Tamandua tetradactyla: one gene and its partners. The protein of the gene in region 1 interacts with the protein of each later gene in a pairwise test. Links are inferred from orthologs where the notes say so. Each region holds a gene or a part of one and is shown in the gene's direction. Other genes may lie near its edges. The genes, in order: CREB5, SPRY1, FOSL2 and FOSL1.

The links.
Region 2: the proteins of CREB5 (region 1) and SPRY1 interact in binary tests that used the Homo sapiens proteins (3 or more experiments, as listed by UniProt). The two-hybrid records come from large-scale screens. The link is inferred for Tamandua tetradactyla from reciprocal best matches to the Homo sapiens genes CREB5 and SPRY1.
Region 3: the proteins of CREB5 (region 1) and FOSL2 interact in binary tests that used the Homo sapiens proteins (3 or more experiments, as listed by UniProt). The two-hybrid records come from large-scale screens. The link is inferred for Tamandua tetradactyla from reciprocal best matches to the Homo sapiens genes CREB5 and FOSL2.
Region 4: the proteins of CREB5 (region 1) and FOSL1 interact in binary tests that used the Homo sapiens proteins (3 or more experiments, as listed by UniProt). The two-hybrid records come from large-scale screens. The link is inferred for Tamandua tetradactyla from reciprocal best matches to the Homo sapiens genes CREB5 and FOSL1.

The regions. Positions count from the first base shown.
Region 1 is NC_135327.1:94,598,372-94,605,896, reverse strand, and holds the start of CREB5 (cyclic AMP-responsive element-binding protein 5), read left to right. Parts: upstream 1-4,506; 5' UTR 4,507-4,735; coding exon 4,736-4,882; intron 4,883-7,525. UniProt on the Homo sapiens protein: Binds to the cAMP response element and activates transcription.
Region 2 is NC_135348.1:45,256,614-45,264,266, reverse strand, and holds the start of SPRY1 (protein sprouty homolog 1), read left to right. Parts: upstream 1-4,638; 5' UTR 4,639-4,819; intron 4,820-5,558; exon of another isoform or gene 5,559-5,665; intron 5,666-6,236; exon of another isoform or gene 6,237-6,286; intron 6,287-6,417; exon of another isoform or gene 6,418-6,489; intron 6,490-7,653. UniProt on the Homo sapiens protein: Inhibits fibroblast growth factor (FGF)-induced retinal lens fiber differentiation, probably by inhibiting FGF-mediated phosphorylation of ERK1/2. Inhibits TGFB-induced epithelial-to-mesenchymal transition in lens epithelial cells.
Region 3 is NC_135329.1:12,553,030-12,560,304, forward strand, and holds the start of FOSL2 (fos-related antigen 2), read left to right. Parts: upstream 1-4,269; 5' UTR 4,270-4,372; coding exon 4,373-4,471; intron 4,472-4,826; exon of another isoform or gene 4,827-6,618; intron 6,619-7,275.
Region 4 is NC_135335.1:8,626,176-8,633,405, forward strand, and holds the start of FOSL1 (fos-related antigen 1), read left to right. Parts: upstream 1-4,215; 5' UTR 4,216-4,446; coding exon 4,447-4,548; intron 4,549-6,366; coding exon 6,367-6,564; intron 6,565-7,230.

The DNA.
Region 1 (7,525 bases):
CTGCTTAAAAATGCATATCTTGGAGGAAAATACAGGGTGCTAAATTCAATTGAAATTTGAGCCATATAGGATATTTTGAACTTGAGATGAATCCATCAAGATGAGCAGTGGTGAGAGGTCGATGGAGCACGACAGAGCTCAGTAATAGGAAGGGACAACTTCTAAAAATCACACATCTTCTGTGTCTCTAGTCCACACCTCTCTCCTCATCTATTATTTCTATTTCCAACTTTACCCTGGATATTTCCTCCTAGATAGACTGCTACTATTCCTTAATTTTCACATTGTTCAAAGGTGAACTAACCCTCAGACCAGTTCTCCAGATGTGCCCATTTCAGCTGGGATCGCCATCATCTTCTGGCCCCAGGCTTCCCCCTTCATGACAATCACTGGCTGCCTTTTCCCTTGGCAGCCATGTCATTACCAAGTGTACTAGACTCCATGTCACCTGGGATCTCGGATGTTTGTCTTTCCGCCCTGTCTCCTAAAGTAATTCCATCTCTGAAGTGAAGATTAAGGGGAAGAGAATTATTCAAGTCTTTATTGAGCTTACTCTTTTATTCTACCATATCAGTCCTTACAAATCTATTAAGAGACTGGAATCTCCCCCTTTCAAACATGTGTAAAATGAGGCGCAGAGGTTAAGTGGTTTGCCCAGTGTAATGAAAACGGTAAATGTGGGAGTTTGAGTTTGTCACCAGTTTTATCTAGTGTCTGCTCAGACTTTTTTTCATTTTGGGTACATTATGAATCTTTCCACTCTGTGGCTCTGAACATCTCATTACCCTGAGCAAGAGCCTTCTCTGGTGTCCCGTCTTAAGGCCCCTAGACTTACCCGAGCCAGTATTCCTGCATTTAAGCCAGGTTTGCAATGAATTCTTGTTTGTGTTGAGTGCCTCTCTGCCATGTTCAGACTCTCCTCTTGCCTGGAATGCCTCCTACTCTCCTCTAGCACACCCACCCAATCACACACACACACACACACACTCACACACACCCTGATGGCCTACACCCCCACACACACCTGCCTGTGGAAACATTACTCTCCAAAACCCATCACAAGCATCATCTCTTCATAAAGTTTCCTGATCTCTTAAACCAAAAACTGAAGGCAAAATTAATTGATTTCGCAGTGTTTTGTTAATATTTTTTCTTATGATTCCTTTCTTTGAATTTTACCTACTATTGTGGTTTTTTTGTGTGTTTGTCACAAATTCCCTCCCTTGGTTGTAAGTTCTGTAACAGCAAGAAACTTAATATTGCTCAGTTTTAATTTCCTCCATAGAAACTTTCATATAGTCCTTTATATATAGTGAACGGCTAATTAATCCTGAGTGAATTGGTTAAGAGGATACCCATGCATTGTACTTTGTCCTGACTTTCCTATTACCAGCATTAGAACCTGGTCAGGGTTCCTGGGAGGACCAGCCTAAGGAGATTTTTGGGTATTGATGAATGTTTCCTTCCCCCTGAGCATTGCCTCAATTTAAATTCTATCCTTTAAAGGCCATTGTAATGATATTTTAGAAATCCAAAAATGGAGGTCGAGGTGGCTGGGGATAAATCAGAGAGAATCTCATGGCTCTCACATATCAGTGATTTTTAGTTTTTACATTCTCTTCCATAACCTTGTCCAGAGGTTATCATAATTTTTAAGCAGTTTTAATCAGAGCATAGATATGTATGAAATTCTGCTTCTTTCACTCAAAACCATACCACAGACATTTTTCACATGACTGCTCAATCTTCAAAATTATGGTTTTTTATAATATTCCATTTAGTCGATATACCATCATTTTCTTAACCATTCCCTATTGCTTGTCATTTAAGTTCACTGTGGGGTTTTTTTTATGATCTAAAAAACACTTGACCAATCTTTTGGCAAGAAAAATATGTACCCTGAAAAACCTCTCCTTCTCCTGACGCTGGTTGAATAAAAAAGCCTTCCTTTAGGGATAGGCTTAGGCAAAATTGTGACAGCCTCAGATTTGTCTAGGCTGCCCTTGCGCGTCTTTCATTTCTTTTATCTCTGGCCCTCTTCCTTTTAGCACATTCCATTCCCCAGAAATGCCTGGACCGTGCACTCAGGGACCTGCTGTCTTTCTTCAGAGACTGAGTGTCTACTCCAAACCCTATTCCCTTCCCGCTCTTCTTATGGAACTTCTCTCTCATCTTACTTCTTCAGAGCTGAGATGTTAATATGATATTAGACATTCAAGGTATTTCTTCTCTGGGGTTTTATAATTTTATTATGAAAGGACTCTGGAGATGGTCATTTTGTAGCCCAATAGCACACATCATTAAAAGTGACTCTTTGCTCTCCTTAGCTGGAGAGGGAAAGCACCTTTCACAGATCCCTTATTTGTATGTGAGAGGCTTACCTGCTATATCCTGGAAGAAGGCTGATCTTGATTCCAGGTTTTGTGGTGGATTCAAAAACTATAGACCTTTTGTAAAGATTCTCAAGAGGCTCTAGAATAGCAAGCATTAGACACTGTCTCTGCAACTTTGAAATACCTGTTTGGTGCACAGAATTCTCTTCTATTCAGTGTTAGAGGTGGATTTGCAGGAAGACCCCGGTGCAGTAGAATGGAGGGGAAAAGGGTACTGGATGTATTTTTTTTTAATTATTATTATTTTGCATGGACAGGCACCGGGAATCGAACCAGGGTCTCAGGCATGGCAGGCAAGAATTCTGCCTGCTGAGCCACCATCACACTGCCCGATGTATTTTTGATTTATCATCTGAAGGAGCCTGGGAGTAGGGCTCAAATTCTGATTCTTAGTGCCATCACCTCGTGACTCTGAGTAAGTCACTTAACCTCTTTGGCATTCAATTTTGTCATCTGGTGACACCTGCCTGGCTGTTCCTAGAGCTTATGTAAAGTGCTCTATTTAAGTCTAAGCCCAAAACAACAACAGCAAAAAACAACATTTATAAAGCCTTTTGTATAATTTATAAAGTATTTTTTATGCTTCACTTTGAACCTTAAAGCAACCTGGTAGGGAAATCGTTTCTTATCATTATAATCATAGACTTTTCTACCTATTTTCTGATGAGGACACATCTTAAAGCATTTTTGACTTTCCCAAAGTCATAGAACTGGTAAGTTGTGGTAGTAGTAATAGTTGAGGTTGGATTGATAGTGGTTGTAAGTGGTGGTAGTGGTGGTGGTAGGATATAACCTGTAGAAGTGATGCTGGTTGGGGGCTTGGTTATTAGGAGAAGTGGTAGGTTTGGGCATGGAATTGGCCATAGTGGTAGTCATAGCAAGCAGCTTGCCAGGTATTGTGCTTAGCATTTTACATGCATCATCTAATTAAATCCCCTAATAACTTTACCCATCAGGTGTCATTATCCCTATTTTACAGATGAGGGAACTGAGTCTCAGAGAGGTCAAATAACTTGCTCAAGCGCTGTTGACCACTATCCTTTTCTCCCTTTAAGTCTTGGAAATGAGAAAGTCTGGGTTTTAAGAGATTGTGTTTTGTTTGGCTGGGACATTCTGGGCATGCAATGACTATTACTGTGCCCTCAGGAGCCAATAGCACTGTTTCCATCCTTTTCCAGCCTCTGGCTCCACCCTTTTGCCACCATATGAGCTCCGTTGGTTTTCCTTCACCCCATCATAAAATGCATCATTTTCTCCTCTGACCTCTTCCTTTCTTTCTGTTTCAGGGAAGAAAACTTCCCTTCCCTTTCCAAGCTGAGCTCTAACAATATTCCTGTTTTGCATCTAAATCGCTTTGCTTTTTTCCCCCATCAGGAAACACTATCTAGACATTCCCTTTATAAATAAGAAGGCTTTCCATTTCTAAATCAAAGCCCACTTTTATTTATTTATTTATTCATTCGACAGTTTTTGTGTGTCTTCTGTGTGCCAGATACTATGTCAGAGAAACAGAGTCAAATGATTACAAAAGAGGGTGAGAAATGCTATCACTCGTTAAGCAGAATGTTCTACTCTTTCAGGTTCTTACAATATGGCAGTGGACCTAACAGACAACGTCTCTACTCTTATGGGACTTAAATTTTAATTTGACAAGGTAATAAACAAATATGTAAATATGTAATGCATTATATAGTGGTATGGGCTAAAAAGGGAAATAAACAGAGTAAGTATTTAGAGTGTGCCCTTCCATATTTCAGATGGAGGAGGACACTTCAGATGGGGTAGTGAGGGATGACTTCTCTGATGAGGTGACTTTTGAGTAGAGACCTGCTGAAGTGAGGGACTAATTCCTACAGATGTCTGGAGAAAGAGTTTGCAAGTGTTTTAGTTTGCAAAAGCTGCCAGAATGCAATATACCAGAAATGGAATGGCTTTTTAAAAAGGGAATTTATTAAGTTATAAGCTTGCGGTTCTAAGGCTGTGAAAATGTCCAAACTAAGGCATCCAGGGAATGATAAACTTGATTTAAGAAAGGTGAAGGGGTCCAGAGCACCTCTGTCAGCTGGAAAGGCACATGGCGACATCTGCTAGCTTTCTTTTCTCATATCATAAGGCTTCCCCAGGGATGTTTTCTATCTGCATCCCCAAAGTTCTCTGGCTGTGTGGGCTCTGTAGGCTCTTTCTAAAATGGTTCCCCTTTAAAGGGCTCCAGAAAGTATCCTCACCTTGAATGGGTGGAGACACATCTCCATGGGAAACACCTAAGCAAAAGTTACCACCCTCAGTTGAGTGGGTCACATCTCCATGGAAACAATAAAAAAGATTCTACCCAGCAATACTGAATGAGGATTAAAGAACATGGCTTTTCTGGGGGTGTAGACCAGATTGCAGATTCTTGTGAAATGGCAATGGACCAAACAGACAACAGCTCTACTCTTATGGGAGGAAGTAATACACAAATATGTAAATATATAATGCATCATATAGTGGTAAGTGCTAAAAAGGAAGACAAACTTCCATATTTCAGATGGAGGAGGTACACTTCAAATGGGGTAGTGAGGGATGGCTTCTCTGATGAAGTAACTTTTGAGTAGAGACCTGCTGAAGTAAAGAACTAGTTCCTGCAGATATGTGGAGAAAGAGTTTTCTAGGAAAAGGAGTTGCTAGTACAGATGTCCTGGTAGGTTGAGGAATTTCAAGAAGGCAGATGTGGAAATAGTGGGAGATAGGGGCTTGTAGATTGTCCTGTGACCTTTCATAACCTCATTGATTTGGGAATCCATTGGAGGGTTTTGAATATAGAATACATTACATATTAAGATCACCCTTTATACTGTAAAGGTGGTGGGTGGAGACCAATTAGTAGTCAAGAGATAGTCATAACTTGGAATGGATAATTGTAGGAGAGGTCATGTGATACACTGGACTTTAGCTGTATTTCAAAGGTAAAGCTGGCAGGACTTGCTGACAGATTGGATGTCAGGGAAGATGCCAATGTTTTTGAACTGGGACACTGCAAGGATGGAGTGGTCATTAACTGAGATGGGAAGCTTGAGGGTGGGACAGCTTAGGTGGGAAAGACTAGGAGTTCAGTTTTGGGCCTCACACAGATGAGGACATGTCTAGTAGACAACTGGATGCTGAGTCTGGAGTTCCAGTGAGGGGTCTGGACTGCTGATATAAGACACAGTCAAGTGGGTGGGCCATGGTGGCTCAGCAGACAGAGTACTCGCCTGCCATGCTAGAGAGCCGGGTTCAATTCCCAGTGCCTGCCCATGTAAATAAATAAATAAATAAAAAGATACAGTCAAGAGCACAGCCTTTGACATCATGTAGGCTAGCATCATCTTGCAGCACAAGCTCTTTGCTCACTGGGCCCAAACCCACTGGAATTTCAAGTCCTTGCATGCACAAAGCCTGTCTCACTAGAATCTGAATTTATTTTGTTCATCATCATATTCCCAGCAGATAAGTCTCCACGTAGCTTCAATATTTGCTGAACAAATGAGTGACCATTATTAATTCATTACTTTGCGTAGGGCATGCTTCAGTTCCTCTATTTTATACATACATATATATATATATAAATATATATAATATAATCTTATTGTAACCATATAATTATAAGAGTAATTATATATGCAACAATTTTCTTTTAATGTTAAAGTGTAGAGTCCTTGATTACTTAATGATTCCACATTCCTTTTCTGAACAAACACATTTTTGTTAGTTAATATGTGGGGAGAGACTGGATATGGTTGAAGACTGAATGATCACTTGACTGAAACTCTGAAAAGGAAGGTTTAAATTTCCTGATCATAATTCCCACATACCTGTTTCCTGGTCAACAACTTTGTTGTTGTGACGCTAATGTGAGCAGTGATTTTTTAATAGAATGACCTTTGAGAATACCTATTACTTAGTACTCCCCGTGTTTATCAGGGCAGGGGAGGTGAGGTACAGCAGGGGAGGGAGGCGTTGTGTGGGACAAGCGGCTCTCAGCTGGTCGATGACCTCCTTTGGTGACTCTTCAGATGGTCTGTTGTCTCCAGCTTTCTCCCTGGAGATGATAGGAAATGGTATGTGAGGGAAGAGATTTGATTTACTGAGAAAGGGTTGCTAACTCACAAAAGTTTTTGTCTTTGACAGTGTAGAGCTCTATGAAATGCACAGGATTAAATTAGGAAATATCCTCTTTACACTCCTTAAAGCTAGAATGAGTCTTCAGAAGTAAGTACCCGTGTTGTTTAGCACACGCATTTGCATGTATATATGCACACATGCACAGACACTCACATACATGGATGTAGGGAGAGAGACTGATCGATTGATGCATGAATATATGTCAGTTGGAGAACTTCATGAAAAAGGCACCATCTTTATAGATAATATTGCTGTGGACAGCATCCACTCAACCTACGCATTGACAGTGCTATGCCCAGAGCTAGGCAGTGGGGGAGTAGCAATGAACAAGATAGAAAGGGCCTTGCCTTCATTCCTGGGGTCTAGGAATCCGTAGAGTCTCAGCCTGCTCATCTGTAGGATGAAAATAATAATAGCATTTACTTCATAGCCTTTGTATAAGAAGTAAATGACCACGAATGTGAAAAGTTAGATTTTAAAATGCTATAAAAACTATGAGTAGCTATTAAGATTAATGTACTATATATAGCTATTATTCACTTTGGGATTTATCCTGATTGATTATTTCTAGTTCTGAATATCCCCCATCGCTATACTACCTAAGATTTTCTCCTTATAATTTAGGCAGCTAAAATTTCCTTTTATTATACTCCAGAAAGAAAAGAAAATGCTAAGTATGTAGTATGGGATATAAGCATTTATCTATAAACAGTTACCTACTCTGCGTAACAAATGATCCCCAAACAACATACATTTATTATCTCAGAGTTTCTGTCCTGGAATCTGGGTGTGGCTTAGCTGGGTACCCTGGCTTGGCGTTTCTCACAGGGCTGCAATCACGGTGTTCACCAGGACCACAGCCATCTCAATCCTCAACTAGTTGAGGCTCGGCTTCCACATGCACTCACCTGGCTGTTGGCAATCTTCTGAAAGTCCATGACCAACCTTACTTATGTGGCTGTTGGCTGCAGACAGCAAGTCCTTGCTCC
Region 2 (7,653 bases), on another chromosome or scaffold:
TCGACAGATACTGATTTATTACTATATCTGCCATATTGATAAAGAATCAAAATTAGTGTTCTGAGTCTCAAAAGGAAGCAACAGGAAATAATCATTCTGAAATACATGTATAAGGAAGCATCATCTATTTTTTTCTTTTTCTACTTATTTTCAACTTCTGCAATGTTTTCAGTTACTGTTTTTATTTTAAACTTTTGCTGATCACAGAGTTTACAAATTTTATAGGGAGAGTTTTCAATATTTGCAATGACCATGAGCTTAACCGGAAATAAAATGTCAACACTTATAAATTCCAGATAAATAAATGTTCAGGCGATCAAATCTCATTAAACTCCTTAATCTGAAACTATTAGCAGATAGCAGCTCTAAAACCCTACTACCTATTTGCAGTTAAACATATACACAGCTATACATTTATTTAAACCTAAGTGTTCAGCCATAGAAAAATAAAAGTAAAACTGAATTAACTCGAAGCAATTATGAAGCAAATAAATTCATTATTCAGGGATGAAACGCTTGGAAAGAGGGATTTTAAACATTTCTTGTGTTTGAGACGATGTGAACCAACAACAATTTATACAGAGCTTTAAAGCTTACAAAGCGCTACATATATTGAGTCCTAAAGTGGCACTGAGATTTGGGAAGGTGAACTATTATTATTCACCTCAGGTTATTGAGAACGCAAGCTAGAGAAATTAAGTGAACGAAACCATCTAGTTAGAAAGTAGCGAAGCTGAGGTTTAAACCTCATAGCACCACACCTTACGTCTGCTACTCTTTACCCAACACCACGCTGTTTCTCTATTTATAATATTGGCATGGGACATATGGCTAAATACAGTGAAAGTTATAAGCCAGGATACAGAAGGGTGATACAGTTAAAACCCAGATTGTCAATACATATATCCCACCAATTATTACAGACCATTCGAAAATGTTTATAAAAGAAATTGTTAAAAATGCCCTAAGGGAATTGCAAATCAAAGGAATTTCTAAGTATAAATACTTAAAAAAAAAGTATGTTATCAAGTTTTGTATATTTTCTTTTTTAAGGGACATGCATATAGCTATTCCATTAAATGAACATTTTATAATTTTTTCATAAATAAAGGATAAACTGTAGCTGTGGTCATGGGTTATTTCAATAGGAAATAAAAATTAAACTGGGTAAGCCCCAGGTGATATTTTAAGTGTTTTGGTTTAATGAAAATATTATATTTTCCCTACAATTCATTTTTGGGAATAACTGTAAATTTAAAATAACCTCGGTTTTTGTACACTTGTTTCTAAAGGCGAAGATAACAGTAGATAGATATGGAAATTTGAGGTTAATAATTCTTTTGCTGACCAGAATCAAAGATGATACTAGGTTATCATTATAAGTTATTCCACTGCTTGTTTCAAAAAATCATCAGCAGAAGAGATGGGGAATCTTGTTTTCACATGAAAATGAAGGACAAGTTTAGGCTCAGAGGAGAACATTTAACATCACTGAAGAGGAAAGAGGACAGGATTTATTTTACAATTGGCTAGATAAGAAATGAGGGCTGTTTCTTGCTAGGGCAAAGATGTTTCCTTATACAACCTTACCCTGTGGATTTAACTAGTAAAACCTTTGATACATAGTGTCATGTAGTTCGTCTGAAGTCTTAGATCATTTTGATTTCCAGTGAAGGAATAGGATGCTTAGAGTATGGCGGGCTCCATTTACAGCTCTTCCATATACACTTCTTTCTTTTCTTACAACTTGCAGAAAAACAGAATCAGTGCTGACAAAGCCCACAAATGATTGGTCATAAAATTATGGCGATGACAGAAACTTGATAAATCATTCATTGTGATTTACTCAATTTATTGAGAAACTGAGGCTCAGAGAAGTGATTTGCCCTGTTCTAGAATTTGAAACCAATATAGAACATTAATATATCAAAGAGGGCAGAAGGATGAGGTTTAAGCTTATGAAAATGAAGAGAATGTTTATGGAAAATTTACAGAATAGGTTGGTCTATTTCTGTCAACTACAAAGATTGTTTACAAAAGGAAACTGAAAATAAAATGGTCTATCCTTGCCAGTTTTCCTTGGGAAGTATAGTAATGTAGAGACTATTGCCCTAAAAGGCAAGAGAAGAGACTTTGTTTCCACCCCTGATTCTTTACTGACTTATTAAATAGTCACAGGCTAACTCATCAACTTCTGTGATTTTTGTGTATTTATTTCTCAACAAGATAAAATACTATTGTACATTTCTTATCACGACAATGGAAACATCGGGAACATTGATAAAATATTATTTTTCAAGAGCTTGGAACACATTATGGTTCTGCTCTTTTGGCAAATAACGGAGATAAATGAGTAAGATCAGCCTCCCGCTACTTCACTCAAAACAAAAAACCACTAGCAGTTGCAAAGAGTTGCATTTTTTTTCATTTCCTTCCCCCCCCCCCCCCAAATCCAATCATCAGAAGAAAAGGCTAGTTTTATTCTTACATGAAAATAAAGGACAAGCTAGGGGTCACTTTTCATTTCACTTTATTCTTCTGGACATACCTTAATATAGTAAACTAAAAATTATTTTATAAGATTGTCCCATTGAAATTAAATTTTTTTTTCTTTCTCAGAAAAATTTCATATCCCAGCTATCCATTTCTAACCGGAGTACGCTATAATTAAACTTACTAAGTTAAGAAGAATGCCTATTTTAACTTGAAAACTAAGAATTTCTAACAAGGCTTACAATTGTAAGCAGTTAAAAGGAGGGACAAAACATCTTCTATATCCAAGGTGGCAAGGCTATCCTTATATTTATTTGCAATGCATTATTTATAGAAAAACATACTGGTGTGTTTTAGTACTAAATCCTGTAAAGGGTCATTGGTTAACTTTTGTGTAACAGAATATTTGATTTTCTAAATAGAATATGTCTCATTATCTGTGATGATGTTACAGATAAAATCTCATGAATTGTATTTATTATTGCATTTTTAAAACACCCAATCTTATAAAAATCATAATTTAATACCTCTTTGAATAGTTTGAAGTTTATTTGTAATTGAAATCTTCCAAATCTATTTTTGGGATTTATGGAAGTAGAGTGTCCCGGCTTTATCATAGTGGTGAACTGACCTCTCTTCCCCAAATTGTGATGACAGCTGAGAAGACAATTTTGAAGAACGAAACAAGATGCCCTAATGCGATATTCTATTTCTTATTTGACTGTTGATCAATTCCAGATCTATTTATAAAAACTATTTGACTATTGAGAAAAACCGATCCATTTTTGGTAAAAGTTTATCACATCCCAGAATATAGTAAGATCCATGGGGGAAAAAAGACAATATAAATAACATCAATTTTACACTTTTAAACAGCTTCTTTTAATACTATTTATAATATTAAGGAGGAATACGCAGCTCCTTGGTTTAAAAAAAAATACACAGTTTTTATTGTGTATTTTCTCCTGCAGCTTTTCTCCTGCTGCTGATGCTCTTAGGGTACTCTAGGTTCCTGAAGGGCAACTGTAGACACAACCTTAAATTTAAGTGCTCAAAGCTTTGAAAGCCCAGTCGGTCTAAGGAAAAATGGTTTTGACAGAATCACTTCCTATTGTTAAGAATGAGATTTTTTAACTGCTTTGAACTGAAAATGTTGTACTCACCCTTAACTTTATATATTAATTTTAGATTCTGAAGTTTTATTTTTGTTTCCTTTGTTTTGTCAACGATTTCAAGTTACTCCTGATATGCTGGAAAAACATATTTCCTTCCCAGTAAATACCTACTTTTGGTTTTAGGCATCTTTTTAAGGTCTCTTTGGAATCTTAAATTTCACATATATTTATCCTCACTGCAAAGTGAGTATAAATGATACTCACTTTGATAAAGATGCCTAAAATTCCATAAGTTGTAAGCAAGCAAAAAGCAAAAGTTCCTATATGCATGATTACAACTTTACTTAAAATGTATTTTGTAATATTTTATTACAAATAATGTATTATTAAGAATTATAAAAATTACTGATAAATAGTTGTTTTAACTAACTGCCTTTCAGCTGATTAAAAAAAATTAGGGGGTGATTTTTTTAATAATTATACAAATATATTACAAAATTGAAGGAATTTTGGATTTATTTCATTCGACTGATATATGGGAAATTGCATCACAAACCAAGATAGTGTAATATTTAAAAATCTGCAGCTTAAATTTCACACTTATGACCTATTGTTATATTACATTTTCAGCAAAGGGTGTCTTCTTTTGAACTTTCAGATTTCATATCTCCTGAACCTTTGTTTTAAATAGAAACTTAACGTTATGATAGCATCTTTTCACTAACAACTAGATATTTTCCCTCCCAATGATCAGAAATGGTGGGTTAACATTCTTTTTTTTTTTTTTTTAACTTTCCTGAATGCTTCAAAATTCTTTTCTAATTCAACCTTACTGAGATTGATAACGAAAGAGAAGCGCATTCGGCGGTACTGTGATAAAAGGCACTGACAGAATGTTTGCTACACAAGCACACAGGGCAAAGCGTCCAAGCTCGTGCACAAACCCAAAAGGAAACGACTGTCGGGGAAATCCTGTTCCAGGTTTTCCGGCAGCCCCTGTGATTGACACATGATATCACTGGGGGCGTGTCGTCGAGCGGAGGTGGAGGTAGGAGGCGAAGGCTGAAATTCTGTGGAGCCGGAGGGGATCGCTCGGGACAGCACGCAGGGGTTTGCAGAGAGATAGTGGGGGCCGAGCTCCCTGCCTGCATAACGACCAGACACAGTCGCTGTAAATGTGCCTGAAAAGCAGTTTCCAGCCTTTGCACTAGGTAAGAACTGTTTCCTTCCTTTTCGTCCGTAGACATTTTAGGAACGATTACTTGAGAACTCAGGTTTGCATGTGCAAGGAACTGAAGTTTCTTTGAACTCGCTTTACTTCTAAACTTACTGGTCGTATTTCACAACTTCAGGAGCATTTCCACTGCTAATGCTGATCTCTTAAAGTCAATGCTACCGCTAAAAGAAATCGCGGGGTCCCGCTCCCTTCGCTAAAAGAAATCGCGGGGTCCCGCTCCCTTTTCTTCCTTATCCGAAGAGCAACAAGTTGAAAAGTCTCGCAGCGACGCATGTGTGAGGGACAGCGCGGATTGTGGCGAAGAGGGACCCGCAGTCTGTGCAGACCAAGTGCGTGCTCGTTCAGGCACTGCCGGCCACCGGGGCCCGAACGAGGCAATGGTTTTAAAACCTGACTTTCCCGATTCTGGGTATTGATTTCCAAGGCGCAGAAGCGTTGCTTGAACGTTGTTTGGACTTGTAGGCGTTCCGAGGGCAAAAGCACTTCGGCAAAAACGTGCCAGACTGCATGTTGCCCCGGCTGGCGGCTGACGCGAGACCGTGCACCGGCCTGCCAGTCACCGGGAGCCGCGACCGCAGCGCGGGGCAGGGGGCGGCGGGCGGCGCGCGAGTGGCCGGTCCCGCTCGGCCCTCAGCCGGGGCGCGGACAGCTGCGTGTCCAGGTGGCGCGAAGAAAGGGACGCTAACGCGCTTCTACCTCTTCCTCGTCTGCAGCAGGCGCTCCGGACGTGGAACCTGAGGGTCGCAGGCCTGAAGCGCGCGCCGCCGCGCGAGGCTGACCCGCTGGCACCGGAGTTCCCGGGACGCTGCGCGCCCACGGCTCGGCGCGGGGCAGGGAGCGCGGCTTGGCCCGCGCGCGGACCGGAGACGACGCCCCGCCGCCTCGGGCCGACAAGGACCCGCACTCCTCGCCCCCGCCGCCCCCCGCCCCTGCGCGGCCCCTGACCCGCCCGCCGACGCCGGCTCGAGCTCCGGCCCGGGCGTCTCGGAGTCTCGAACTCCCGCGACGCGGACTTTCTCTCGTCCGGAGGCCGCCGGCCCTTCCTTCCTCGCGAGGAGAGGCCGCAGCCCGGGAAGCACGTCGGTCCGAGCCCTCCGTGGCCTCCGCCGCCCGGCCCGCCCTCGCCGTCCTCCGCGCGCTGCCCCGAGGGACCCGGAGCCCCCCCCGCGCGGGGCTGCCCTCGCCACTGTTCTGGCTGTCGGAAGGGGCTGCCGGGGAAACGCTCCCGAGGTGGATGTCACTGAGCCTCGGCGCGAACGCGGGCGGCGCAGAGCCGCGGGGGAGTGTGCGCGGCGGCCGGAAGGAGGCGGCGGGGAGCACTCGGGGCCGGCCCGGCGCCGCGAGGCCGCCACAGCCTCTCCGCCGCGGCTGACGCGGCTCGTGCACGCCGCCGCCCGCCCCGCGCCCCGGGGCCCGGCTTCCCGCCCGCACTCCGGCCGAGGTGAGTGGTCCGCGCCGTCCGCGGTCCGGGGCGGCGGGAGGCGCGCGGGCGGGTGTGCGTGCCGCGGCAGGTGCGGGCCCCCGGGCGGGGCGGGGCGGACCTCCGGGAGGGGGCGGGGCGGGGAGGCGCCAGGCAGGCCCCTCCCGCCAACCCCGCGCCCGCGGGCGGGGGCTCCGGGGCGCGTGAGCCGGTGGCAGCGACTGGTGAGCCTCACGGGGGACCCACCACCCGGAAAATGGGTTCTAGGAGGTTTGGGGGGTTCCCTGGAGGGCTGTAGGGAGGCTTTTGCCGTGTGTGTAGGTGCGCGTGCGTGTAGGTGCGTATGTGTGTAGGTGCGTGTGTGTAGGTGTGCGTGCGTGTAGGTGTGCGTGTGTGTAGGTGCGTGTGTGTAGGTGTGCGCGTATGAAGGTGGGTGTGCGTGTGGTGTGCGCGGCGCGCGCGGGGACCTCCGCCGCCTCCGTCCGGCCTCCCCTTGTCCGGCGGGGCGCCGCGGCTGTAAAAGCGCGAGGTCCGCCTCCCGCCGGAGGGCGAGGGGACGGCTCTCGGTAACGGGCTCCCCCGCCCCGCCGTTGGCCCTGGCGCCCCGCGCTCTCGGCCCGGGTTGCGGAGCGCGCAGCCCCGCCGTGGCCACTCGCGGCTCGGCCCCTCGCGCCCGCCCCCGGTCGTCCCCGCGCGGCGTGTGGCTGCGTCTGGCCTTCCTCCGGGGGCTCCGGGCGCCTGCGCTGCCCCCCCGCCGCTCACCCGGAAGGCTCCGCCCGAGCGCCGGGATTGAGGCTGGGGCGCGCGGGCAGCCGAGGTGGGCACCCTCGGAGGCCCGTGGGCTGTGACGGGCGGTCCGGAGAGGTAGCTGCTTGGCCGGTGTGTCTTTGGAGAGAGTTTGCCGAGAGCGTGGGCGCGTGGTTGGGAGGAGATCGCGGACTGTCACTGCGGGAAAATGGGCTTTTCTTTGGATCCGAGTGCCTGCCTTCCTCTGCTTTTAATGGTTACCTGGTTATTTTACTCACCGGCCCGCACCAGTTTTGCTGCGACCGTTCTGTAAAACCCAAGTTAAAGTTGTCCCTGGTCGTCTCCTTACACTATTCACGTTCCCTACGGTTTTTCCTAAGGTGTGGAGGCTCAGTGCTTGCAGAGGCCCTTTGCTTTCAAAAAGCCCTGGGTTAAAAAAGTTCTTTGCGAGGTGGAATGACAGTGTGTAGGAGTAACCGCTAAATATTTTTGAGTGTCTCAGTAGGCTGTAAGTGTCTCGGCACACTAGTCTCTCCTAGTGTGCCGAGAAGGTAGAATAAAGCAGACACTCGGAAGACCTGGGTTGTGAAAGTGGGGAAAGTATGGGGGCAGTTGGTTTAGTTACAGACTTCCTTCGGTTT
Region 3 (7,275 bases), on another chromosome or scaffold:
AGGGGCTTTATGAACATGTGGCACTCAGAAGTGTGCCCAGTGCAGCCGCGAGCCGGACGCACACCACACTGGGAGTTGTGTCATCTCCTGGTGTTACTCTTGGGGACCAAACTTTGGGCTGGATGGACACATGAAGAAACTGGCAAAAGTGTGGCCGGCTGGTCCTGGAGACCCAGCGAGGCGGCAAGAAGATGGTCCAAACCACATGTGGCCCCCCATTCCTCTCCTTCCCTTCCCTCGCTTGACATCACCCCCTTCTTGAACTGAGCGATGGTACCGGACTGTTTATTTAAGAGGGGCACCTCGAGCCCTGAACCAGATGAAGTCCATGCTTTCAGGAGACCCATAAAACAGAAACGAAAAGACCCCAGCAGGCGGCAGAGGATTCATTCCATGTCCTGGGTGAGAGGAGGATGGCCTGGGCCCGAGAGGCCCAGCTGGGCTTCCGACTGGGTCACTAACCTGCTACAACCAGTTTCCCTGCACAAGCTGCTTAATGTCCCTTTCTCCCTCTGCAACTGGGAAATGATGCCCACCTCCCATGGCTGGGTGAGCACTACATCAGACAATCCCTCTACAACAGACAATCCCTCTACAACATTCCACGTGCTGTCTGCCTCTTGGTGAATGCACAATAAATGTCGGGCTCTATCTTCCTTGTTATTCCAGGCGGCGGGGGGGGGGGGGGGACCTCCACGAGGGCCTCTTTCTGACCGGGCGATCCTGCAATGGTTCCCGTCGGAGGGCGCAGAAAGCAGGGCTTGCAGACGAAATGCTCCGATTGGCATAGACAGTCCGGCTGAGGAACCCACTGGTTCGCGCGGTCAGTCCTGCCACAGGGGCAGGACGCAGCTCTGCGCGTCGGAGGACCGCAGCGGGAGGATAGCAGACCTCCCGGCGGGCGGTGGGAGCCAGCGCAGGCTGTGGAGCAGGGGAAGGCGGGATCAAAGCGCTCTGAGGCAGGCCGGGGGTGCACCAAGGAGATGGCTGCCTACTTGCATCAGCACAGATTCCATGATGCTCTGCAGACGTCTCGGGGCTGCTGGGCTTTACGGGAACCCACAAGAAAGGAAAGGGCCGAGGGTGCGGGCAAGGCGGGGGCGGGCGAGGGCGCGAGGATGCGCTCGCCCGCCTGCACCCAGCGGCGCCTACCGAGGCATGGGCGCGCCCGGGACCGCGGAGGCCACGGTGGACGCTCCCGCTCCCCTTCCCCCCTCCTTTTCCCCACCCGGCGTTACTGGAAGGATCGTGTGGGAGAGACCCAGAGGCACCCGGATTTTCGAGCGCGGGGTGGGGGAGGGCCGGGCTGCCGCTGCCGCTCAAACTAAAACCAAAAGTGCGTCTGTTCCCGCCGCTCCGACACGCGGCTGCGCGGGGGAGGGCCCCGGGCGCACCCGCCGCTCCTCCCCTCGCAGCCCCCCAAGCTCTCGCTAGGGTGCCTGGAGGCCCTCGTGGCCTGCCTTCCCCGCGCCTGGGGGCATTGGGCACGGGGAGGGGGCGGAGAGACGAGGGGAAAACGTATCACGATTTCTTCTTTTGCACTCATCCCCACCCCCACTCTGAGTTTTCTGCGCTTTGCTGCTGCCGCTGAGGACAGAGCTGATCCGTCTTGCGTCAAAGGCCTGCATTTACTCAGTCCTGCTGGGAAAGGCGCGTAAACACCCAGGCAGGCCAGAACGCAGGGATTTAAAAAACAACAAAACAAAAGAAACACCCAGCACCCACGCGTTCACCCGCCCCACCCACACCCGGGCCCGCCGAGCTGGGGACCCCGGGTGGAGCGCGGCGGCCGAGGTGCGAGGAGTCTTTGGACGGCCTCGCCTCGCTGCGCGCGTCCTTGGGGATGGAGCTCAGGACAGAATGTGTTTTATAATTGTAAACAATGACCCCGAGTATTGTTCGGGATTACCGTATCTTGGGGCCATTAAGGCGACCAGATGCCGCCAGCCGTCCCGGAAACGCCTGCGCTTTATATAGAGCCCCGGGAAAGCTTCGAATTCCCGCCTCTATTTTTCTTTCTTAGCAACACCTCCACTTTACAGATCAAGAAACTGAGGGCGGAACTGTGGTGGGTCAGAGCGCAGAGCGTTTAACAGTCTGTTAAGGTCCTCTCAAGGACCCTGTGGCGTGCACAAGGCGCCACTTAGTCGGGTAAACCGAGGCTAAGGCAGAGGCTGGATCAGGACCCACGTCCCTTCACTCCTAGAACCGTGCTTCTGCGCTCACACGCCATCATCTCTGCAGAGGACTGAGGAAGCTCCAGCGCTGACAGGGGCCTTAGAAAGTCACCTGGCCCAACGTATTCGATTTACAGTGGGAAACTGAGACCCAGAGAGGTTCGGGGACTCGTCCAAGGTCTCACAGCACGTAAATAGCAGAGTCAGACGTTCAGACTCCAAAGCCGGGGCTCTTACGCTGCGCCTCCCCCCGCCCCGCCCAGCAAGGCGGGAAGACCCAGGAGTCCCGACTACCCGCGCCCCAAACTTCGCTCCAAACAGCTGAAGACTGTGTGGGGACACACCCTCTCGCCGGCCTCCCTCCTCCTCTGCTTTTTTTAATTAACAACCTGCAGTTTGCCCAGTTCCTCCTATTAGATGCGTTCTAATTGTCCGGTATGGAGGGCGGTCGGAATGTCTTGACAGGTTAATTTCGGCTTCAAGGCTACTCCTAACAAATTAACCCGAGCGCTGGGGGACAAAAAAAAAAGGAAAAAAAGAAAAAAAGCAGCAGTGGGCAGCCCGCCACCAAGGGCAGAGAGCTGGCAGCCCGACCCCGGCGGCCCGCGGCGCCGCGCCCCAAGGCCTGGCCGCAGGGCGGCGCGGGTAGCCTGGGTCGCCTGCCCGCCCAGGGCGCCGGGACACCGGGCGGCGCCGCGGAGGGCGCGGGCCACCGCGCACGGCCGCGCCCTCCCTGCCAGCGGCTGTGCGCGCCCGGCTCCCGGCCTCGCGGTGGCGCCTCCCGAAACCCGCCCGCTCGCTCCTCAGGGCCGTGATTCAGTTTTCAGGCGCAGCGCGGCGGCCCCGAGCCCCGGCCCGGGCGGAGGGGGGAGCCGGAGCGGCGCGCTCGGGAGCGGGCGAGGGAATCCCTCTCCCTCCACGTCACCCGAGAGCGAGGAAACCCGCACTCACGTCCTCTAACGCAAATGACCATCTTTGGCAACGTGCGCCAATGGAAGAGACCAAGGGCTCTGGGCCTGGGGGTGGGGAGGGGATGAGGACAGGGTGGGGAGAGGACCCGGGTGCCTCGGCTTCCCCGGACCGCGCCGCGGACTCGCGGCCGAGGCGCCGCCACCTTCTTCCTCTCTTGCTCCGGGGCAGGCAGCTGGCGTCCGAGCGGCCCGCCGTCTCCCGCTTCCCTTCCTCCTCCGCGTCCTCCTCCCTCCCCCTCCCCCTCCCCCTCCCGCCTTTCCGGGCGCGCTCCTCCCTGCAAGGTGGAGTCGGGTTGACGTGAGTGAATCCACATGGTACGGGGGCTGGATAATAAAGAGTGTGGAGTTGAACTCGTGCCACTGTAGTGACTCATCTCGGGCAGAGCGCAGGGGCTCCGAGCGAGCGGCGCTCGGCGGGGAGAGCGAGGGAGAGGCGCCGGCGGGCAGAGGCAGGGCCCGCGAGGCGACGGGCGAGGCGCGGGCGCCGGGAAGCAGTGCGGGTGTCTCCGGGAGCTGGTGCTGGAGCCGGGCCCGCGTCTCTCGCCGCCCGCGGGCTGGGCTTGAAGTTCACGGGCGTGCGTGGCCGCCGGCGCGCCAGGGGCCCGGGACGCGCGCGGGCTGCTTTGCTCCTGCTGGCCAAGTGTCCGGCAGCCCCGAAAGGCAGGCGGCGGGTCTAGCCACAGGAAGTTTATGGTCGGGCCCCTTTTCGAAAAGGAGGAAATAGAAGTTTCTCCACCAAGGGCAGCCTTTCTTTTCTCTCGCTCTCTTTCTTTTATTTTTATTTTTAGTTTTTGATCGCTCTACAATCTGGGGCTCCCACACTCGGCAGGCAGGGCTCGAGGAGCTCCCATCCTTTTTTAATTCCCACTTTTCGATTTGGACGTCGGTCCCGGCGGGGGCGGGAGGGCGCGAGCAGGGGAGGGACCGACGGACGCGCAGACTGGTTAGAGGGAGGAACCGGGTGGACGGCTGGTCCCGTGGCGCTTCGAGGGCCGCAGAGAAGTTGGGCGAGAGGCGCTCGGGGGGTCCTGCCTCGCAGAGGTCGCTGCCTCGCCCTCCGCGCCCGCGCCCGCGCCGGGTGCCCCGGGGGAGAAGCGTGAGCGCCCAGGCCAGACCCCGGGGCGCGGCCGGCGAGCCAGGGAGCGCGCAGCAGCCAGTGCGCGGCCGCGACGAGGGCGGGGGAAGACAAACACCCTGTTTCCTCTCGGGCTCCCACCGCGGATCATGTTCCAGGATTATCCCGGGAACTTTGACACCTCGTCCCGGGGCAGCAGCGGCTCTCCTGCGCACGCCGAGTCGTACTCCAGCGGCGGCGGCCAGCAGGTAGGTGCCGGCCTCTGGTGCACCTGGCGGCGCGGGCGGACCCCCCGCCCTCCTCTCGCCGCCTCTGCCTCTTTCTCTTTCTTTTCCTTTTCTTGTCTTTGCGAAGAAATACCTGCGGCCCGCCGTTCCAAGTTCGGGATTCTCATCCTACCTAGTTCTCCCACTTTTATTATTATTATTTTTTTAAATCGGAGCGGGGAGAGGGCTTGAAAACCCCATTTTTATCCATCGCATCCAGCTTAGCTCCTATTCTGCGATTGCAGGTTCCCTTCCCAGGAGCCTGTTACTCCCGTCCCGGGGAACATCCACCCCCACCCCTACTCCCCCGCCGCCACCCCCACCCCCCCACCTCCCCGCCTCCACTCCCCCGCGCTCCCCGTGGTGGACAGACAAGGAAATCGGGAAATCTATGCCCCTCCAGTAAGCGAGGGGCCCGTCCTATGGGAAAGCCCTCTCCCCACTCCCCGCTTTCTCCAGCAGCCTTATTTCTAAAAAGGTGGGGTTTTTTCAAGTAATCCAGGACGGGGGTGAGGGTGGCAGCCCTGGGAACCAGGTGCGAAGGTCAGGCAGGAGGAGGCCAGCCCTGAGTGACTCGGTGTCTGCTTGCGGGTCCCTGAGTCCATCCCCTATATGGCCCCCCTCCGGAAGGGATGCCTTGAGAATCTGGGGGTTCTCTGGGCAAGAGGCCCAGAGAGAAGTGAAGGAAAGAGACCTCGCTTAGGCTCCCGGATAGTCCTGGGAGAAGAAAACAACTTGTTTCTAAAGCAGCCGGACTGGTTTGCGCTGGAGGGATTGTGTGTGCCCTCTGCGTGTCTATAAATACCAGAAAGTGCTGCTGGGGTGGCGGCGGCGGTGGTGGCGGCGGTGGGGTGCCTACTGGGTGGGGTTGGCAGCCAGTCTTCAAGCCCCAGGACAACCTGAAGCCCACCTTGAGCAGGATCTATGATAGCCTTAGGCAAGTTGGGTAGAGGAGGAGCGACTCCAGGAGGGCCGTGGACTTGACCTCTTGGAGCCAGCCAGGAGGGGTGGGGTCGTCCCATGGAGAGGTGCAGCCGGTTGGGGGATAAAGTGGAAATATGGCTCTTGTTGAGACCTGAACCAGGCTACCTGCCGTACCTGGAGAGTCCCCAGAACGGCTCTTCCTTTTCTTCCCTCTACCTCCTCTGCTGCCCCCATAAGCATCCACATAGAGAGCCCAGTTTGGAGTCTGCACATTTGACAGTGCAGCCGGGGGCACCGTTAATAAGGGACCGAGGGTTTGAATAGGAAATCTTATCTGAAAAGTGATTCATTGTATCTGCTTTCCAGCCATGTTGGTGTTTTTGTTTTCGTTTTTAAAACTGAATGTAAACGTCACTAGGCAGTGACTTGAAGTCATTTGTACCCCTTCCCTCTGACCCCCGGAACGCCCCTCTCCTCTTCCCCTCACCAGAGGGATCTTTTGATTTCTTCCCTGTTGCTTTAGCTGCGTTCCCAGGACAGTGAACATTTAAATGTTCCATTCCCGCCACCTGGCTGCAGAGCCTGGGGCCTGTGTGGGAAGCCAAGTCTGGACACCAGTGCCCCAACTGAGTAATCTGTGTCACTGGGGCTTGGAGCCCAGGATGTGAGTGGAGGCAATTCCCTGATTTGGAAGAAAATCAGACAGGAAACCAGTGCTAGGAAGAAGGAAAAGAGCTCACTCCGGCACAGTGTAATGGGGCCTCATTACTGAAGCAAAAAACAGCTGTTGGCCAATTCCTAGCATGCTGTAACACATGAGGATTTTGCAATTAGTAATAACCAGCGCACGGGGTTCTCGCCTGTACGCCTGCCCCTTCCACCAGGCAGCCAGCGAGGCTGCCTCCAGAGCAGAGGGACTGGCAAAGTGCTGCCACTTTAGACAAGTTTGTCTGCCCGCCTGATCCTGGGGGTGGAGGGTTTTTCCATCGCCTCTCCAAGTTTGAGCAAAGCTGACCTGAGACGCGTTTGTTATTTCACAAGTCTGTGCTGTGACTCCACCCAATCTCAGGCTCAAGGTAACTTTATTACATACCAGATAAAACCTGTAATCACTTTATGTGCCTCTGCTTCCTCAACCCGGAGACTGTCATGGCAGAGAGTGGCTGAGCTTTCCTCCTCTATGGCTTCTCAGAAGACTCATCCATGTAAGACCCTGGTTTTTTCTTGGGGAAGGGAACATTCTATTTTCCGGGGGGAGGGGAACAATATTTCTGGTGAGTTTTATTGTTGTTTATTCAACCCAGAGCTTTCCTTTCCTCTCCTCTCCAGCTTCATAAAGTTCGATCGTAACATACTGTCCGTGAGTTCCAGTGACGTTTGGAGGGGCTAGATAACTCATCTCAAAAGCGTCTGCTCTTGAATATGGCTGGAACTCGAAGCATGAAAAATATTTCCTGTTCCAGTTATAGTTTTAATCTCAAAGTTTGATCGTTGGTGATTTTGTTTTGGCCGTGATAGGTGCAGACATCTCCCCCTCCTGGATTGATTTATTTTTTTTCTTTCTCTTGATGTTGTTGTCTTCTCTCTCCTAGCTTTCCTAGGAAAACACGTCCTAGATACACGCACCGCCTGCTCACTTGGCTATTACGGTCTCAGGCTCTGGGCGTTACGCAATCCAGCCAGTTACACAAACATAGGTCATTTCATAACTTGTTTTCATCAGCTGGGCCCCCTTTTTGTAAAAAAGCAAACCAGAAACAAAACGCAGAATTTTTCCAAGGCCTCCCATTTGTCTCTTCCTCAGATAACTTGTGAAAATAAATCAAGGAGGATATTTCCCTTATTGAATCAAGGAGTACGAG
Region 4 (7,230 bases), on another chromosome or scaffold:
TGTCTGGGAGGGCTTGAAATGCCAATGTTAGGGATACTGGTCCCTTTTGAGGGACACACTAACAAGGCTATGAGAAGCCCCGGCTCTGGAGACCCGGTACGTAGGTTCAAATCCTGGCTCCACCACTATCTCACTGTGTGGCTTTTAGCAGGTGACTTAACTTCTCTGTGCCTCCATTTCCTAATCTGTAAAATGGGTATAACCTTACTATCTACCTCACAGGGTTACCCCGAGGATTGAATAAATTACTTTGAACCATGCCTGGTTCATTGGAGCTCAACAGTGTCATCCCCGAGGCCCTCCAGCCCCTCCAATCAACACATCACCTAAGAGGGTGCATTACCCATCCGCCACCCCGCCCCTCCCCAGGCCTCAGCACCTCCCTGTAGCCTTGCTGAAGGTGCTACAGCTCAGAAGGGTCCAATACAGCGAGTGATGTGGACAGACTTTAAAAGATTCCTCTGGAAACATTTTCATGATTAAAAATGCATATATGCGGGGGTGCACAGGTGGTTCAGTAGTAGAATGTTCGCCTTTCATACGGGAGACCTGGGTTCGATTTCCAGACCATGCACCCTTCCCCCCCAAAAATACATATATCCTTCTGAAGTGATGCAAATGCTCTAAAAATGATAATGGTGATGACTACACAACTATGTGATGATATGGACCGTATGTGTGTGAATATTTGTCAATAAACAAAAAATACATATATCCTCCAGGTTGCAAAGTGGGAGACCTAAAGGAGGGTGCTGAGCTGCAGAATGGGAAAAAGTCCAGGAGAAAGAGAGAGGATGGGGCCAGCCCGTTGACCGGAATTAGAGTGGTACTTCCAGACATGAAGCAACCGGAATTCTTTACCCACGACTGGTGGGACGTAAAACAGTAAAGCCACTTTTTGGAGAACTGTTTGGCGGAATCGACTAAAGTGCCAAGCACACGCCTACCTCCACGACCCAGCAATTCCAGTCCTGCCTGGGCAAATGTCCGAGAGAAATGAATGCAAATGGCCACCAAAGAACACATTGAGAGTGTTCTCAGCAGCCTCATTCATCCTAGCCCCAAACTGGAAGCACCCCCAGTGTTGCCCGCTTTTGATACTTTGCGCACACTAGAATGCAATACAGCAACAGAAAAGAGCTACTGGTTCACTCAGCTCTGTGGACAAACCCCCCCCAGATGGGATGCATGAAAAGACACATACTCCCCTCCAAAGAATACACAAGATATGGCTCCATTTATATGAAGTTCAAGAGCTGGCAGATCTTATCTGTGATGGTAAAAGTCAGAAGAGTGGCTACCTGGGAAGGGACACAGGGAAGTGCCCTACATCATAATGCGAGTGGTAGTTGCACAGGTTTATCTATATGTCAAAAGACATTGAGCTAATGGGCATAGCCCAAGTGCCCCTAAAGGGTGGGAGAAAGATCAAAGGTGATGGTGGAGTTACACAGAGAAGGTAAGGTTTAACAAATGAGTATGAGTGCTGAATCATTATACTGATATTTCTTTTGGTCTCCAGTATCTTAGAGCAGCTAGAAGTAAAAACCTAAAACTGGAATTGTAACCCATACCAAACTCTGAAATTGGTTCTACAACTACTTGTTGCGCTGTATTTTGATATTTTTCACACACAAAAAAGGTCAATTGTGATGCTTAAAAAAAAAAAAAGCATTGAGCTGAACCCCTTAGGAGCGCACTTTCCAGCATGCATGTTAAGCTGCAACTTAAAAAGAACAAACAAACAAAAATGTAATGGAACTGAAAAAATAAGCATCCCCTCCAATGCTCTGGTGGCACTGATTGGGCACACTCATGTATCACACCATTTTACCTCACTGCAACCCCCAAAGCTGGGATTCTCTGGGGCCCAGAGAGGGGAAATGACTGGGCCAGGGTCCCATGGCTGCCAAGGGGCTAGTGCATGGTCTCTCAGGCCTCCTGGCGCCCCACGAGGCTCTCAGCAATCCTCATTGTGACCCCCTGGAGTTCTCTCCTGGCCTCCTGAAGTTGGAGCCGGTGAGGTCAGGGACCAAGAAGACTTCTGCAGCCACAAGGTGGGAGTTAGTGACTGAGGAGTTTGGAATGTGCTGCCTCTGAAAGGGCCTCCTTGTGACTGAGCCGACGGTTAGAGCAGGAAGGGACTTTCAGAGCCGTGTAATCACACACATGCATAACTTGGAAGAGATGGGGAAACAAACTCAGAGGGGCTAAGAGGCTTGCCCCATGTCAGGAGTGGGGCAAGCCCTTGCTCAGGTAGTTGCTTCTGAGGCAGGCAGGTGGATGTGGTCAAGACTGTCCTTGCAGGTGATGCCACCTGGCTTCCTGTGTCATCCCTCCCAATTTGAGCTGAGCCAAGGAGGCCAGATATCAACGTGTGTGAGTGCTTCCTGTTTCCAGAGTCCCAAGGTGCTCCCATCTCTGAGGCTTTTGAGTAGTATGTGGATTTATTTCCACTACTATTTGTTAAGTTCTTACTATGGGGCCAGGTGCTGTGCTTGGCATGGGACAGTACTTCTATGCCTCTACAACTCTGAGGTGTAGTTATCATTGTCTCCATTTTACAGATGAGGAAATGGAGGCTGAGAGATTGCATGCCTCAGCTACAGTCACACAGCTGATGAGCGGCCTGGCCAGAATTCAAACCCAGGACCCAGAATCATCTGATGCATGCACTTCTTCAATTACTATGGTTTCTTTTTGTTTTTCATTGAAGACAAGCCTTGATTAGGACAAGGGCGGGGGTAAGTAGGCTGCTAAGGACCTCCTGAGTAGATGGCACTTTACAGCTTCATTCCATTTATTCCTCATAGCAGCCCCATGAGCTCAGTGGAGAGTCCCAATTCTACCCACCGGGACTGGAGCTGAGAGGAAATGTGACCTGCCCAGGGTCACACACAGACAGAAAACAGTAGCTCTGGCCCTGAAGGGGCCAACCTGGGCTTCTGGCTAAGCCCTGACTGAGTCCACAGACCCCTCTGGCTTCTGTTCCCAAGGAAGGCAATCCTGGACCCTTCTTTTCTGTGGGCTAAACTGGAGCTGATCAAATGGCGGTACCAGTGGAAAAGCAGGAGAACCCAATCTTCTTTCTGTAGTTAAGCCCACTTGCAGCTCCTTGCCCTCTCTGGGCCTTGGTTTCTTATCTATAAAATGGGAGGGGGCAGGGAAGAAGCTTCCAGACAGGTCCCCCCCCCACCCCGTGCTGACATTTGGTGTGAGTGAAAAGATGTCTGTGAAGCTGTGAGGCTTTGAACAGTCTTGGCTGAGCCTGGCCTAGAGCTCCCACAGCCCCGGTTTGAGAACCCAGTTCTCATTTAGTGGGCAATTCATTTCAATATCTCCCAGCCTCAGTTTCCCCATCTGTGAAATGGGGATGATAATGGCACCCACCTCCCAGGGTTATTGGTCTTTGGTTGTTGACATTTGGCTCTTGGCTTCCCATTCACACATTCAAACAAGGCTGGTGACCACAAGGAACACAGATGGCATTTAAAGAAGACGCCGTTCATCAAACACCTACACCCATGTCCCACTGGAGGCTCCCACTGCCTGTAGGGACTCTGTACTAAAGCTTGTTATAGCTCCTGGAATTACCCTGTGAGTAGCACAATTATTATTGTATTGTATTTATGGGTCTTCAAAGTAGTATTTTATTCATTGCAATCCGTACCACCAATTTTGTAATCTGGTTTGTCCTTTATTCACTTTCTAGTATACCTGAAACTTTAAAACCATGCCAGTGGAGGGGCCTCACGCCACGCCTGGGAAGCTGTGGGTGGCACTGAGCAAGGTTCCTGGCTTGAAATAAGCACCCAGTAAATCATCACCATCACCCATCACATTTACAATTCACTTTACAGCTTCCAAACCGCTTTCACATTCATCTTTCCAAACTCCCACGCGTGGCAAGGTAGCTGTGAGATTATATCGTCCTATCTTACAGATGCAAAAACTGAGACCCGGCCAAACTAGGAGGATAGGGGCCGGGAACGCCGCGGCTGGCTTTCTGTCTGCACCCGCGGCGGGGCGGGGCCGGACGGGGCAGGGCGGGGCGGGGCGCGCGGCTCCTGGGCAGGTGCGTAATTCCGTGAGGGGAACCCTCGGCTCCACCTGGGCGCGGCGAGGAAATTGCACCATGTATGGGCAGCTACGTCAGAGGGGGGGAGGATACTTGCAGCACTCCCGGCCGGGAGACGCCGAAGCCACCCCCTCTCCCCAAGAAAAGGCAGCTACCGGACAGTAGGAGGTGTCGAAAAGCTCGGGGCGGACTGGCAAAAGGCTAGAGGCGGAGCCCCGAGGTGACCCGCGCCGCCGCGCACCCCCCGCCCCCCGGTCCAAGTGGTTCAGCCCAAGAACTTTTCATTCATAAAAAAGACTCCACTGGGGAGCGAGTGAGTCAGAACCGCAGCCGCCGACGCGGACCCCGCACAGCAGCCAGCCCAGGGCATGTTCCGAGACTTCGGGGAACCGGGACCGAGCTCCGGCGCGGGCGGCGCGTACGGCGGCCCCTCGCAGCCCCCCGCCGCGGCGCAGGCGGCCGCCCAGCAGGTAAGAGGGGTCCGACGCCCACTGGTGCTCGGGTGGACAGCGCCTGGGACGCCGGGGTGAGCTCGAGAGTGGCTCTGGGGACTGGGGTAGGGAGCCGGGTGGCAGGACCCTGCCCGTTCTCCGCCGTCGAGCGGCCACTTTTCCTCCACCGCCCAGGGGGGACGCGTGCCCCCCCAGCCACTTCCCGGGTCCCCTCCTCCTGCCCAGGGACCCAGGACGCCTGGGTTAGTTGTAGCCCCAGTAGGATCAGAGCGTGTCTCCATCTCGGGCTAAATTCCGGAATCTGGAGTCTGGGCTTGGGCACCGAGGGAGGCGGGGTCCTTGGGCTGACCGGTCCCGACAGAGTGGGACTCCTTGGCACTGTCTGTGTGTCGCTCCGTTTGTCTGTCCTTCCCTCCCCACCCCTCGCCAAGCCCCTGTCCCCTTCTCAGCGGTGGCCCGGGCAGCGGAGCCTGGTGGGCTTCCAGGGACGGGTTCTCAACCCCACGATCGGGCCACTGGAGCCCTGGAGGTGCCGGGACGTGCGCGGGGCCACGTTGCGGGCAACTCCCGCGTCCCCGACTCCTGGCACCGAACAGCGCCCGCTGCCGGCGGGGGGCAGCCAGGAGGCTGCAGGTGTCCATTTCCTGTCGAGGGGCTGCCAACACGTGTCGCCAGGGGAGGGAAAGAGCGGGCGTCCGTTGCGCCGAGTCACGGCCGCCGAGTCACGGAGGCTGACTCACCCGGGGCGCCCCTCCCTTCCTGGCCCGGAGCTGCCGGGCCCGGACAACCTCGGGAGCCGGAGATGCCGTCGGCGGTCTCTCAGGCCCGGAACTGGGGTCACCCGGCCGCTGGGACGGCAGCCTGCACCGGGGCCACCACTGTCCGGACTTGCCTGGGCCTGTAGGGCGCTTCCCGGACGACTAGGTGCCCACACCCAGGGCCCAGCCCCAGGGCTCAAACCCAATTCTCTCAGAACAATGGACCCAGCCCATTCCTCAGATGCAGGCTCCATGCTGGGTGCTTTCCACTTCAGTTACCGCATTTCATTGAATCTAAGATGCCCTTGATCTTAAAACCCACCATTATTTTATGCACGTTAAAGGGGGGTGGGGGTGTGAAACAAGCTAATATTTCAGCAATTAAAAGGTAATTCGTAACACCACTGAAGTGCTCTAATCCTCATTTTTACAGTGTCACGAATGAGGAAACTGAGGCACACTGATTTGCCCCAGTAAGCAACTGAGCTAGGATTAGAACTGGGACAGGTGGAATCCAGAGCAGTGGCCCTTGCCTACCACAAGCCTGTGCACGGGGCACCTCCCACTTTCCAGGCTGTCACCTAAATTCTCTCACCCGATTTTCACAGCCACCTGGGAGCTGGGAAGTGTGATCATCCTCTTTGGGCAGATGGCACTCAGGCAGGGTGCAGGAGTGGGGAAGGGCATAGACTCTGGAGCTGGGCCCCTTGGGGTTTAATTCCACTTTCCACTTCCTAGCTGTTTGTCTGTGGACATCTGCTCCCCTGTCTAAAAATGAAGATAATACTAGAGCTGCCACCTTAGGGCTGTTGTGCAAATTATGAGTTGGTATCTGTATGGTGGTTAGAATACTACCCGGCAGGTCACACTCTATAAGTATCAACTCTGATGGGAAAACAGAGGCACAGAGAGGTTAGGGTACCTGCCCAAAGTCACACAGCTCGTGAGCAGGGCTTTGCCACAGGTCAATCTCTTTCTGGTTTCCCAGTACCAGCAGTTACATTGGGGGTGGATGGCAGTGTGGCCCTATCCACTAGATGTCCCTTAATCCTTGGTCCTCCATTTCTTATCCCCCCAGAAGTTCCACCTTGTGCCAAGCCTCAACACTGTGAGTGGCAGTCAAGAGCTGCAGTGGATGGTGCAGCCTCACTTCGTGGGGCCCAGCAACTACCCCAGGCCCCTGGCCTACCCCCAGTACAGTCCCCCACAACCTCGACCAGGTGTCATCCGGGCCTTGGGGCCACCTCCAGGCATCCGGCGCCGGCCCTGTGAACAGGTAAGGGACAGTGGCGTTGCATTGGTCCTGATACCTACAGGCGTGCTATGGCAGGGAGGAAGAGCGCCTGTCTGAAAGGGTAGGGGTGGGGTGGGAGGAAGGCAGGACCACTGGCAACTATTGCTCAAAGCAGAAAGTGATCAGATGCCAAGGTCACTGCTGGAGCAGGGGAAAGTTTCCTGGAACAGGGGCATAACAGCTGAAAAATATGGGTAGGATTTGCACATGTAGAGATGAAGGAAAGGAAGTTCCAGGTAGACAGAATGGCAGGAGCAAGGAATGGAGGTGGAGGTGAGGATGTGCATGGGGAAAGGTGAATGGGCAGCGGAGGGCCTCTACCTGCCGACATGCATGGAAGGGTGAGCTTATGCCACCCACGGCTCTGTAAAGCTGGGGAGAGAACAGGAACAAGAGGCTCCCCTTCAGCTACTCTCTGAGTCTGTTTCCCTCTCATTTGATCCTCACAAAAACGCTCTGGGGATTGTATGCTGGTTCTCCTCCTTTTTACAGCTGAGGAAACCAAGGCACAGAAAGGTAGAGTCACTCAGGCAAGATCCCATAAGTGGTGAGCAATGAGACAGGTCTAACTCTAAAGTAGGCTGCTAACCACCAAAGCTGCACTGACAGGTGTCACCAGCAGGCTGGAAGCCAGGGACTCTGCCTCCC